Neodiprion lecontei: one gene and its partner. Each later gene encodes a partner of the first gene's protein in a complex. Links are inferred from orthologs where the notes say so. Each region holds a gene or a part of one and is shown on either strand. Other genes may lie near its edges. The genes, in order: phosphatidylinositol 4-kinase beta and Golgi resident protein GCP60.

Evidence for each region.
Region 2: the proteins of phosphatidylinositol 4-kinase beta (region 1) and Golgi resident protein GCP60 are in contact, whole or in part, in an NMR structure (PDB 2N73), measured with the Homo sapiens proteins. The link is inferred for Neodiprion lecontei from reciprocal best matches to the Homo sapiens genes PI4KB and ACBD3. Residues at the interface, in NP_001317650.1 of Homo sapiens: Val37, Gly38, Val42, Ile43, Asp44, Pro45, Val47, Ala48, Gln49, Lys50, Ala51, Cys52, Glu54, Val55, Leu56, Val59, Lys60, His63; in NP_073572.2 of Homo sapiens: Gln245, Ile246, Ala249, Leu250, Gln253, Thr254, Gln257, Phe258, Tyr261, Gln265, Tyr266, Leu276, Leu280, Gln283, His284, Gln287, Tyr288, Gln291, Leu292, Val295.

Annotation. Positions count from the first base shown.
Region 1 is NC_060260.1:3,883,259-3,888,111, forward strand, and holds the start of phosphatidylinositol 4-kinase beta, read right to left. Parts: upstream 3,021-4,853; 5' UTR 2,533-3,020; intron 1,386-2,532; 5' UTR 1,324-1,385; coding exon 1,139-1,323; intron 1,052-1,138; coding exon 165-1,051; intron 1-164. UniProt on the Homo sapiens protein: Phosphorylates phosphatidylinositol (PI) in the first committed step in the production of the second messenger inositol-1,4,5,-trisphosphate (PIP). May regulate Golgi disintegration/reorganization during mitosis, possibly via its phosphorylation.
Region 2 is NC_060265.1:28,507,921-28,513,877, forward strand, and holds Golgi resident protein GCP60, read right to left. Parts: upstream 3,769-5,957; 5' UTR 3,536-3,768; coding exon 3,358-3,535; intron 2,752-3,357; coding exon 1,676-2,751; intron 1,134-1,675; coding exon 1,074-1,133; intron 912-1,073; coding exon 810-911; 3' UTR 542-809; downstream 1-541. UniProt on the Homo sapiens protein: Involved in the maintenance of Golgi structure by interacting with giantin, affecting protein transport between the endoplasmic reticulum and Golgi. Involved in hormone-induced steroid biosynthesis in testicular Leydig cells.

The DNA of each region.
Region 1 (4,853 bases):
CATTTATTTTAATTAAAACTTCTTTCCAATCATGAATACGTATGCGTTAAATTATAAGTAAAATAACACCGTTTCTCTAATAGAGAGATAAGAACGAAAAAAAGCTATTTTTGATACAGACCGTTTTAAGACCGGTTAAACGTAATCAACAAACAGTGACTCACCCAAGTAGCTCTGCACTCCAGGCTCCTTGGAATTGAAGAGATAAGAAATGGCCATAGACATGTCAAATACTTGGCTCTCAAATAACCTCAGCAAGCATCCTTTAGAAGATTTTGGTTGGGCCAAAGTCTCTTGCCTACAGACTTCAAGCTGTCTCTTGGTCAGTTTAGTCTCTGGTTGACCTGTGCCGCAGCACAAAGTGATCGCAGCATCAGCCAGATCATTTTGCAAAGCGTTGACATGGAGGGTATGTCTACATACAACTTGACCACTATCATTGTTTTTCATAGAGTCTTTGGAGGAACAATCACCGCAGCATAATTCTTTGGAAGTAAAATCTCCCTGCCGGCGGTCTCTAACATCTTTGGAGTTCAAATTTTTGGGTTCACTGTCGTCAAAACTGTCCGCAACATCGTCGTCCTCCTCCTCTTCCCGACCGTTACAAACTTCTTTAGTTAAACAAACACTAGGCACTAGTTCGACACAAGAATTTGACACAGCACTCATATCCCCATCCACAACGTCGACACTGTCCAAATCACCAGCTTGCGAACGTGCAGAGTCCAAACTCTCTCTACTGTGCAAATGTTCCACGCTGGATTCCCTCGTTGTCGCATTAGCCGTATCGCTGGCACCGCTTTCCGAACCGCACAAAATACCAGAGTCGTCAGATCCAAGACTTGCAAGGTCTTCGCGTTCTCTGTTGTGCCCCTTTATCGACGGAACGACGATCGCCGACGGAGTAGGATTTGCCTCGCATTCGGGACTCGGAGTTACGTCGACTTCTGGAATTCTTTGAAGAGCCGAATCCAGGCTACGATTTCTGTGATGCATCGTTAGTGTAGCCGATGTGGCCTGAGGTACCGGCGGCAAAAGGATTCCCATAGATCTATATTAAAAGAGAAAATGAAAACATATAGGTTTCGTCATGCCGACAACCAAACTTCGCTGAAAAACGAAAAAGCACAAATTTTACCTGAAGTCGAGGCTGAGGTTCCTTTGATGCGTACTGAGTCTGTTTCGCACGCTAATCGGTGGGTTAGGCCTGCCGTGCACGGGAGGAACATTGTAACCGGTTAATTTTTGCCTCTTGACATGAGCCACAGTCTCCAGGCGGGTCAAACCACCGTTGGATCCAGTTACAGCAGCTATTTCGCTCATGCTAACATATGACGAGCAACGGCTCAGCCAACAGTCATCTAAAGCTCATTTTGCCACTATACCTAGGAAAATAAAGCACAGTTGTTACAAAACTGTCTACAGAATTTTCTCAGGTATGTCGTCAGTGTCGTTATCCGCCCTTTGATTTCTGTTTTTAAACTCGACAACATTCGAGGCGATAATTTTTCAATTGCTTCAGAAATAATACTTTCAATTGAAATTCTGTTATATTACTATGCTAAGTTCCCTTCATCGTTGTGTATCAATGTTATACAATTGACACGATAAAAAATAGAAATATTTGTTAATTAAGTTTATCAATAATCACATTAGTTTGGTTAGTTAAGAAAAATCACTTGTGCTTCGATAATAATTTAATACAAATGTTATTCTTAATTAACCGATTATTTTTTAACCATCCTGGGTAATAATTGATGGTGGAAAAATTCTCAGGCCACACCTAATGTCATATATTACAAATGTTTTACGAACGTAAGAGTTCCACTGAACTAAAGATCAAAGAATTCGTAACGCTGAAAAACACGATTTGACATTTGTGAACACATACTGGATACATAAAACAGCCACAAATGATTTACAAACTAGCGAGAGTCAAAAGAAACCCGAATGATCGGGAAAACGAATTTTAGGTTCAAAATCAATCATAAACACCAAATAAGTGTTTAACGGGCATTTGAGACATTGTTTTTAATTTTACTCCGTATTGCAGATATGCTCTAACGTTGAAGAACGCGGTAGTGGTAAATCGCGTAGGAAAAATGAGAGAGAGAGAGAGAGAGAGAGAGGGAGAGAGATAGTCGAAAGATAGTTGTGCGACCATTTGGACGATATACAAATAATCCGGTATATTTACGGACTGCTAGAAAGGATCAAGAAACGAAATTTAACGTTTGGCTGACAAGTGTAGAATGTGAAAGTAACGAGGATACTGGACTAAATCTAGGCTACACGGCATTCCTTGCGTGGTGTTTCGCCTCGGTCTTCCAACATCCCGAAGGCAATGGGTGTGCCGGTGTTGACAATTAAATTCCACCCTACGGAGGTCAGGCAGGCAAGCGAAGGGTTTGGCGTCCCTTGGCAATGCCGTAGTACGCGTAAACCGTAGTATAATACACATACATGCACGGTATACACGTACGCGCGTGCATGCGTACGTGTATGTATACTACGGAGGTATAAAATGCCTACCTTGTTTATCGAAAGCAAGGTTGTCCGTCAATCAGGAGAGCATCATCATCCGGAGCGTAGTGATAAAATGCGAAGAGAATGTGTATCCGAACGGAGTAAGAAAGAAATAAAAACCGATATCAAACCCACTCGCTGGAAACACAGATACACAAAAACGAAAACGAGACAAGATACGACCGCTGGCGCGATCCTTCCTTTCCAATGGCTGTCTGTCACTACCGTGTTGAATTCACGAACCTATCCCGTGAAAACTCTCGGTAAAAACGATCGACGATACGTGGACGAATACTCGACTATAAATATTAATACGACACTCCTTATCACTGTCTAACGACAATCGCACTACGAACAATTTACAACGAATACAGGACTAAAAAAAAAAAAACAGTGGTAAAATGACGCAGAGAGGAACGAGTTATGCCAACGCGAAAGGCAAGGCGACACACATTCGACTGCCTCTACGTCGGATCCACACACCTCGACGCACGGGTGCCAACTGAACGGGAGCGCAAAGTCCGGGCGGCGGTGTTGTCGGTTCGCGTTAAACCCAGATAACGTCGGAATGCGAAAACGCCACGAGCGTTTCACGAGGCTGGCTTGGGGAGCGCGTGCACTTTGATTGTCATCATTACCGAATAATCGTCCCCGCGTTTCCTTTTATCCGTCAGATTTCTACGAGGCGATTTGTTTCGCGTCTGGCGCCTCTTCGCCTCTGCTAACCGCGGCGTGGTTCGTTTGTTTTATGCCGCATACGCGTCAGCGTCACTGCGTAGAATTTTCGTCGCAGGTCCGCGTTACGTTGGTAGTAAGGAAAACCCACCGCGCTGGGTGTTTGGATGGGAAAGGTCATACAACCGCGAGTGCAGCTGCACCGAGCGAGAGAACAGCGCGATTGCCGCTGTGAAGTTTCGCCTCTCTTCGTCTCACTTTATTTTCTTCGAGTACCTATTTTGCTTTATTTTCAGCGATGAATCGCGGCTCTTAGTTTTCGGTACTCTTTTGTCAAGCGGTTTTCTCAGGATCGCGATCGTGTAGACAACGAAACGAAAAGAATGAAAAAAACGAAACTGGCAATTGACAATAATGTAATTTTTTTTTTTTATTTCTTTTTAAACCAACGACGCGATACGAATCGAGTATATCGGACACAGTTAGCTCGGTTGATTTTATCTCGGCTCGATATCCGTACGATACGCTGTAATACGACGCAAAATCTACGACGTGTGTGCTTCGCCGCTGTATAACTATATAATCTGTACCTATATGTATATATACAATCATCTTTGCGTATCTCTTGCGGTTGCTTCCAGAGATCTCCATCCGCCGAAATGTAAATTGATATTGTACGAATTAAAACAGCTCTTTTCTCCCACCGAGTGTAATTGTTATTATTATTGTTATTTTCAAAGATCCTTGACTCGAGATTTTTTTTCTTGTTTTTTTTTTTTACTCTTTCATTCGAGTTGTAAGACCCCCCCCCTCCCTCTGACACCGACACGTTTACCCACAAAATAATATGCGAGAATATGTGGAAGAAGACGAAGAAGATGGCAGCTGAATACAATATCGTGCGAGTTTATAGCTGCGTGTATTACAATAACGTCGTGGCGATGATTACCGGGCAATCCTGCCTTCTCTGCCCATACTTCCTGTAATTTCATACGCTTTCTACCTACCTGCTTCCACGGGTAGAGAGAGAAAGACAGCTCGAGAGAGAATATGTTAAAGCGCTTCACCCCGAGCAGCAATGGCTACAAGTAAACATTCTGTAATGTTCTGTACAATGGCTTATATACTCAAAAGCAATAGACACGGCTACCCGTTGTAACATGTAACATCGTAATCGCAATGTCACCGACAATGCCGTGCAACGATAAGGATCTGAAAACTAGACGCGACGGGATAAAAAGTGATCAATTCGAATCGAATCTTCCACTTTAATTACACTCCCCCTTACTTCGTTACTTAGGCATGAATTTAATACTATCCATATTCGAAAGTACGCTGCTACGAATGCCTAACTATTAGTTTCAAAAACGTTTCGAGAATTTTCTATCTTTCGGTTATAACGTCGAACGTTCATACATAACTAATAATCTATAGATAATTCTCAAAGAAGTTGAACCAATTGATCGAGTAATAAGCTCAAACGTCACTAAGCCCTTATACCTTGGACTCCGCGGCATCTGCGGGTCTTCTTCGTCCAGGTCAAAGAAATATTATTCCACAACTTTCCAGAGCGGCGAAAGTTACGTGCATATATATATATATATATATATATGTATGTATGTATGTATACATAATAACACGCAGCACATAAA
Region 2 (5,957 bases), on another chromosome or scaffold:
GTTGCGAATATACATACGTATCAAGTTTCTTTTTCGGACGTTCGTTGATGCCGTGGCAGCAATTATACACTTAATAAAATAAGATGCATGTTGTACACGCCATATGTTATAATATACTGCGTATAGACGATGTACTATTACCGTTTTTGCGTAGAAAAAAAACAAAGAAAAAAAACGAAAAAAATTTAAAAAATGTAATCAGTATAGTATTATATGCACGCACGCTCACACACATACATATACACGTATATATATATATATATATATATATATATATATATATATATATATATATATATATATATATATATATATATATATATATATATATATATATATATATATATATGTATGTGAGTATTATCATTTAAAAACTATACCTGGGATAATTCTATACGTCAACGTCAGAATATTAATTATCAGATATGAATAGTAATAATTAAATTTCATCTAATTATAGTTGTGCCATAAATAATAATTGCTGCACTAGTCTGCGAAGTGAAAAAAAAAAGAAAAAAGAAAAGAAAAACAAAACAAAAGATAAAACAAATGAAAAAAAATTTTTATTCAATTTCTTCGTAAATATAATAAATATATATGCATATGTATCTTTTTTCTGAATTTCTTGCATGTCTTGTCTTGTTTTTTTCTTTTTAGAGGCTAGACAGTACGTGAAATATAGACGTATATTTATATATATATATTTTTGTCGTTTTGTTTTGTTTAGACTAGCGTACAGACAGTCGTTTCAGGCTAGTGTGTTGAATAGCTATGCGACGTACTTAAGTAGTTCATTATATATCATAATACTAATTATTTGTAAAACCCGGTCGCGTGTAATAAACTCTGTAATATAGAGTTTTGCTGCGCCAAAGCGAATAGGAATTGTCAAATTTCAAGAGGTAGACACCCTGTGAAAATAGAAAAAAAAAAACAAGTCAACACGATTTTTCGTGGGATTTTACGTTTACAGGTGATTATTACGAAAAGAAATTTCAAGAAAATGATTATTTGTATCACTTGCGAAAAAATAAACTTCAATTTACACAATATAATCATTGAACTATGCTTACTTGTCCCGGATATTGGTGACTACCGGCATAAACCTCTTCCTGTGAATCTCGCCTATAGACCTGAAGAGTAAAAGTGAACGAAATCAGCTTAATAGCTATGAAATTTTCGGTTTGCTATCTCATTGCCAAATTCTAGTGAAAGTAAGCGCATCTAACAATTGAAAGAGGCTATTCTTGTTCCTTCTTTGGAAATAGCTGTCCAAACGGGACTAACATGCATTTACCTCGTTAGCCAAAGATTGCATTACACTGTTATTTGAAATTGGCTATCGTAGTAATAAAATATTTAGTAAGGCAGGGAATTAAGTTAGCTAATTGATCGTTACTAATTCAAATGTCGATGTTAACATGTGTGCTCTAAAAATAAAATCGACCTTGTAGATCAACTACTCACCAGCTGTTCTAACTGATTAGCAAATTGTCTACCGTTCTGATGATTGTTGATGTACAGATTGTGAATTAAACATATACTTGACATATCTCAACTTTTATTTCTTTTCACTCGCCGTGAAAGCTAGTGTCAAACCTTTTGTGGTTCGTTGCTAAGTATTGGCAAAGACGTAAATAGCAGAAATAGTAGTCAAACGAAAATGCAAACTCACAGGTACAATAACACTGATCGGCGGTGTGATCGGTTTACTGAATTCAGACTTTGGGATTCCGTTCATTGCTCCATTCTCCAGGTCCTCCCTGGGCTCGTACTCCTCTTCCTCTTCCTCTTCATCCTCAGATTCGCTGATGTGGACGGAGACCTGGTTGGTCTCCGGTTTGGACCATTCAAAGTAAACCCCAAACCCTATGTCGTACCCGTCGGTGGCAAACTCCCAAAATAGACAGGAACCATCCTCGTGGGTTGGAACTCTAACAGTGACGGTTTCTCCGTGTCCAACTTTGATGACAGCGTCGCCAGCCTCCTTGCGAATGATCTCTTTGAACTCTTCTACTCCGGTTCTAGTCCACATTTCAGCCGCGGACACGGGTGGCCAGTCCGGCTCTGCGTCATCCGAATCATTCTCATTCAGTGGCGTAGTTTCATTTGAATCGGCAGCGTTCTTCTCGCTCTCACTGCTCAGGATTTCCGCCAGCTTCTCTTTCTTCTCGGTGTCCGAGCCCTGATCCTCTATCACCAGCTGATTCTGATGTAGCTGCTGCATGTACTGGTGGTAGTGCTGCTCCTGCAGTTGCCTTATCAACACGCCTTGCTGCTCCGGGTTTCCGGGGTACTGCTGCTCCGCATAGGCCTTGAATTGGTGGTAGGTTTGCTGATTCAACGCCTCCTGTATCTGCCGTCTCTGACTCTCCTGCTTTAGCCTCTCCTCCTCTTCCATCTGCTGCTGCTTCTCAAGCTCCCTGAGCTGCTCTTCCTTCTCCAGCCTCTTCAATTCCTCCTCTTTTTTCAGTCTAGCCTTCTCCTCCAGATCTCTTTTCTGCGCCTCGACCACGGTCTTGAACAACGGGCACAGCTTGTCGAGCAATACAATGAAACCCTCCATCGCTTCCTCTTTCGATATGTCCCCAAGGTTTTGCCAAGCCAAACGACGGTCCCGACCTATCATATCTAATACTCCCAAGGGAGGCGCGTTTTCTACTGTACATTTTCCATGCATCACTTGTTGCGTAAATGCGACCAACTTCAACTTGTCCTCGTAAGACAAGTGAACGGCTTTACCTTCCTTTTCTGAAAATGTGAATAATCGTGTTCGTAAGTCAGATTCAACGTTGCAAACAGGGACGTTTAGTACTTAGAACGGAGTGAGAATACGTGCATTGAAAATATAGGATACTTGCGTGTTTTGGCATTAGTGTTATATGAACGAGGAGTCGAAGTAGCGACGAAGTTGAAGAATCAATTGACACAAAACTCAAAGGTGACATTACCAAAGCAAATCTGCGATTTATTAAGCGCTAAAAGATCGACGTCACTGTGGCAGAGTCGAAACACCAAAGCATAAACACACAATGGGAGCTATGCAAATTGGTATTGAATAGCAATCGAGGAGGCGAGCTTTGTGCGTTGTTCAAAAGAAAAACGTACCGCCAAGGACAGCAGGGTAAAGAAGTGCGGGGAAAACAAACAAGACAGTAAGTGAATAAGACGCAAATAAATGTCCAGGGAATTGATTGCCGAGGTATAAACAAGGTCGGCTATCAAGAATTCCGTTGAATATTTGAAGCTTCGATCCAGCGAGCTGGCCATGAGCCCGATCGAGCTGTCAGACGAGATATACGTAGAAGAGAAAAAAAAAGAAGCATGCATAGGAGATGATGCAGAGAGACGCCTCACCTTTGTAGAAGTTTAAGGCAATCTTGTAGAGTTCGCGGGTCTCGAAGCCCCAGAGATGGGGTTCGAAGACTTTCGCATCGTTCCGGGAATTCGTACCGTCGGCTGTTCTCACCGGCGACAACTTCAGCTTGTCAAAATCTCCTACTGCAGCGGATACGTCATCGCCTGGCGACGCCATTTGCAATTAACCCTGCGGCCTGCCGCCGCTGTTGCTTTCTCGACACGTCGATGCGTCCCGAATCCGACTCCGTGAATTTCTGATTTTTTACACCCGTCGAGTATTCCTCTAAGCCGCCTGGGACAGGTGGGCAACAATTAACACTTCGCGCAATAGTCACACGCTCCTCATCACTAACCCGCTTCGGGAACAGTGTGTTTCTGACGACTCCGATATGCGCGATAAATATTGCGCGAAGAACACGCTGGCCTTGAGAGTTGGCCGAACTGATTGAGCCGTCGTTGCACTGTTGGTAAGGCTGCACGGTCGGCAAGGTAACGCGCTGGTCTTACCAGTCGCCGAAAAATTAGTGCGACAAGTTGGGGCGATGTAAGATGTAACGAAGAACCAGGGTTTATTCTCATAATTTAATGTGCGCAAAAAAAAAAAATAGCGGGAGTTAAAATGATTTATAAAATTTTTCAGCAGCTGTGGATCTTGCTGCTTACTTACGTTTCTTTCTTTCTAATTCCATTTACACGTTGTCGACAACGTAAAATGCACTTTCATTTACGTAGGGTCAACACACAACATCAACGATGTACACTGTAGGATTTCGTGGATTATTTTGAGGATAAGAGATGGAGTTGAATTTTCTAGGCAGGCCATACTTCCTGCGGTGATTAACCGATCCTTGGCGAAATCGAACGATGATTTGAACGTTTGAAATTCGAACGCGATACTTGGTATTTTTGTTAATTAGTATATTTATAAGCATCAATTATTGCTGCGGCAAGAGTGAGGGGAAAATAAAAGGAATACTAATTTTTCTTCCGAGATATACGGCAGTGATTCATTAAAATTTCCGTGTCGTATGTATTGATTTATAATTCAAGTCCTCGATAAGATCAATTTTCTGTTGAAAATCTAATTTTCTACTTGGAAAGAATGGTGCAAAAAATAAAAACAACAGAAAACGCGATAGTTATTATAAATATACCTTCAGCCGGACAGTTATTTTCAGGCGTAATCATATCTCACATCGCACATAGTCCGAGAACATAAAACTTTCAAAATCAATGCACCTTTGTGAAGAAGAATGGAAATCCTGTTTTTTTCATTTTTTTTCACACAGGAAAATAACATTAACTTTTATGTAATATAGATATGGCGAGTTAATTCTTGAAAAAAAAGGAAGAAAATAGAAAAAAGCTGAAACGAAAAAAAAAAATTCTTATCACTACCTTTTGATAAGCAAAGATTACGACCATATGTCACCCGTGTGCTTGATGAAAATCATTTTAAGTATCATATATACCTATATGTCTGAACTACCAGAAGCTCTAGTGATTTAATAAAATTAGTTACTTTGTAATGAAACAGATATGTCGAAAATTAATTACATTCTTGTTCAACAATATTATACCCTGCAGTGTGATCTCAGACGACAAACGTATCACACTGTTAATATTAAACATAATAAGAAGAAAAAAAGAAACTCTGGGAAAAAAACTTTCTTAAAAATACACAGGCACGAGTATCTATCGTATTGCGCGTACCGGTTAAATGTACTTGAGCTGAGATTGAAATTCGTGCTACGACCGAAGATGATAATTTTTCAGAGATATAATAGGCATGCGGAAATGAATTTATCAAAATCGATGCATTATTAAGTACAGATATCGGTTCTAATATTAGTTTATCGAAGCTTAGTGGTGGGCGGGAGTCTGTTTGGGAACACTCGTAGCCTAAGCCCAGATACTTCAGTTCAAGGGTCTATTGTCATTAAAAAATTATATTTCCCTCATGCATCATTTTGAATGATCTCCGATTGATTATACAGAGCTACGAGCAGTGACCGATCGATTCTTTCGTGGCACCCCCACCCATGCCGGCGGAAATCTTTCCAATTTCCACCTCTATCTCGGCAACGTGATTCCCCAGAAATCAGGAGTCCCGAAATCGTGAATAAACCAAAGATCTCTGAGATATTTTTAAAATATTTACATTTACATTCAATACGATCCGTAAAAAATACACTCTACAAAAATTCACAGCAATGTTACGTGAAATGAATTTTATTAAAATAAGATAATAGTAAAAAAATGTACGAAGCGAATCGATTCACGCAACGATAACAGCTGAGTATACTTTTAAATTTCGCTCATTCTCTCCATTCCACGCAGACACATTTATGCTTTGATTATGAACTATTTATCTTGGAATAAATATAAACTTTCGGGTTTCAGTTTGCGCATAAATTCGGAACGAATCGGGTATAGAAGGCGCTAAAGACCCTCGTGATTTTTCGGTACACAAGTGCACGCGTCCCTGTGTGTTATAATATATAGGTAGTGCAGTAGTCAAAGCATAATCTATATGGGGTGTTATCAAAAAGATAAGGTTACCAGAGCTCCTATCTGGTAGCCATATTTTCGATATA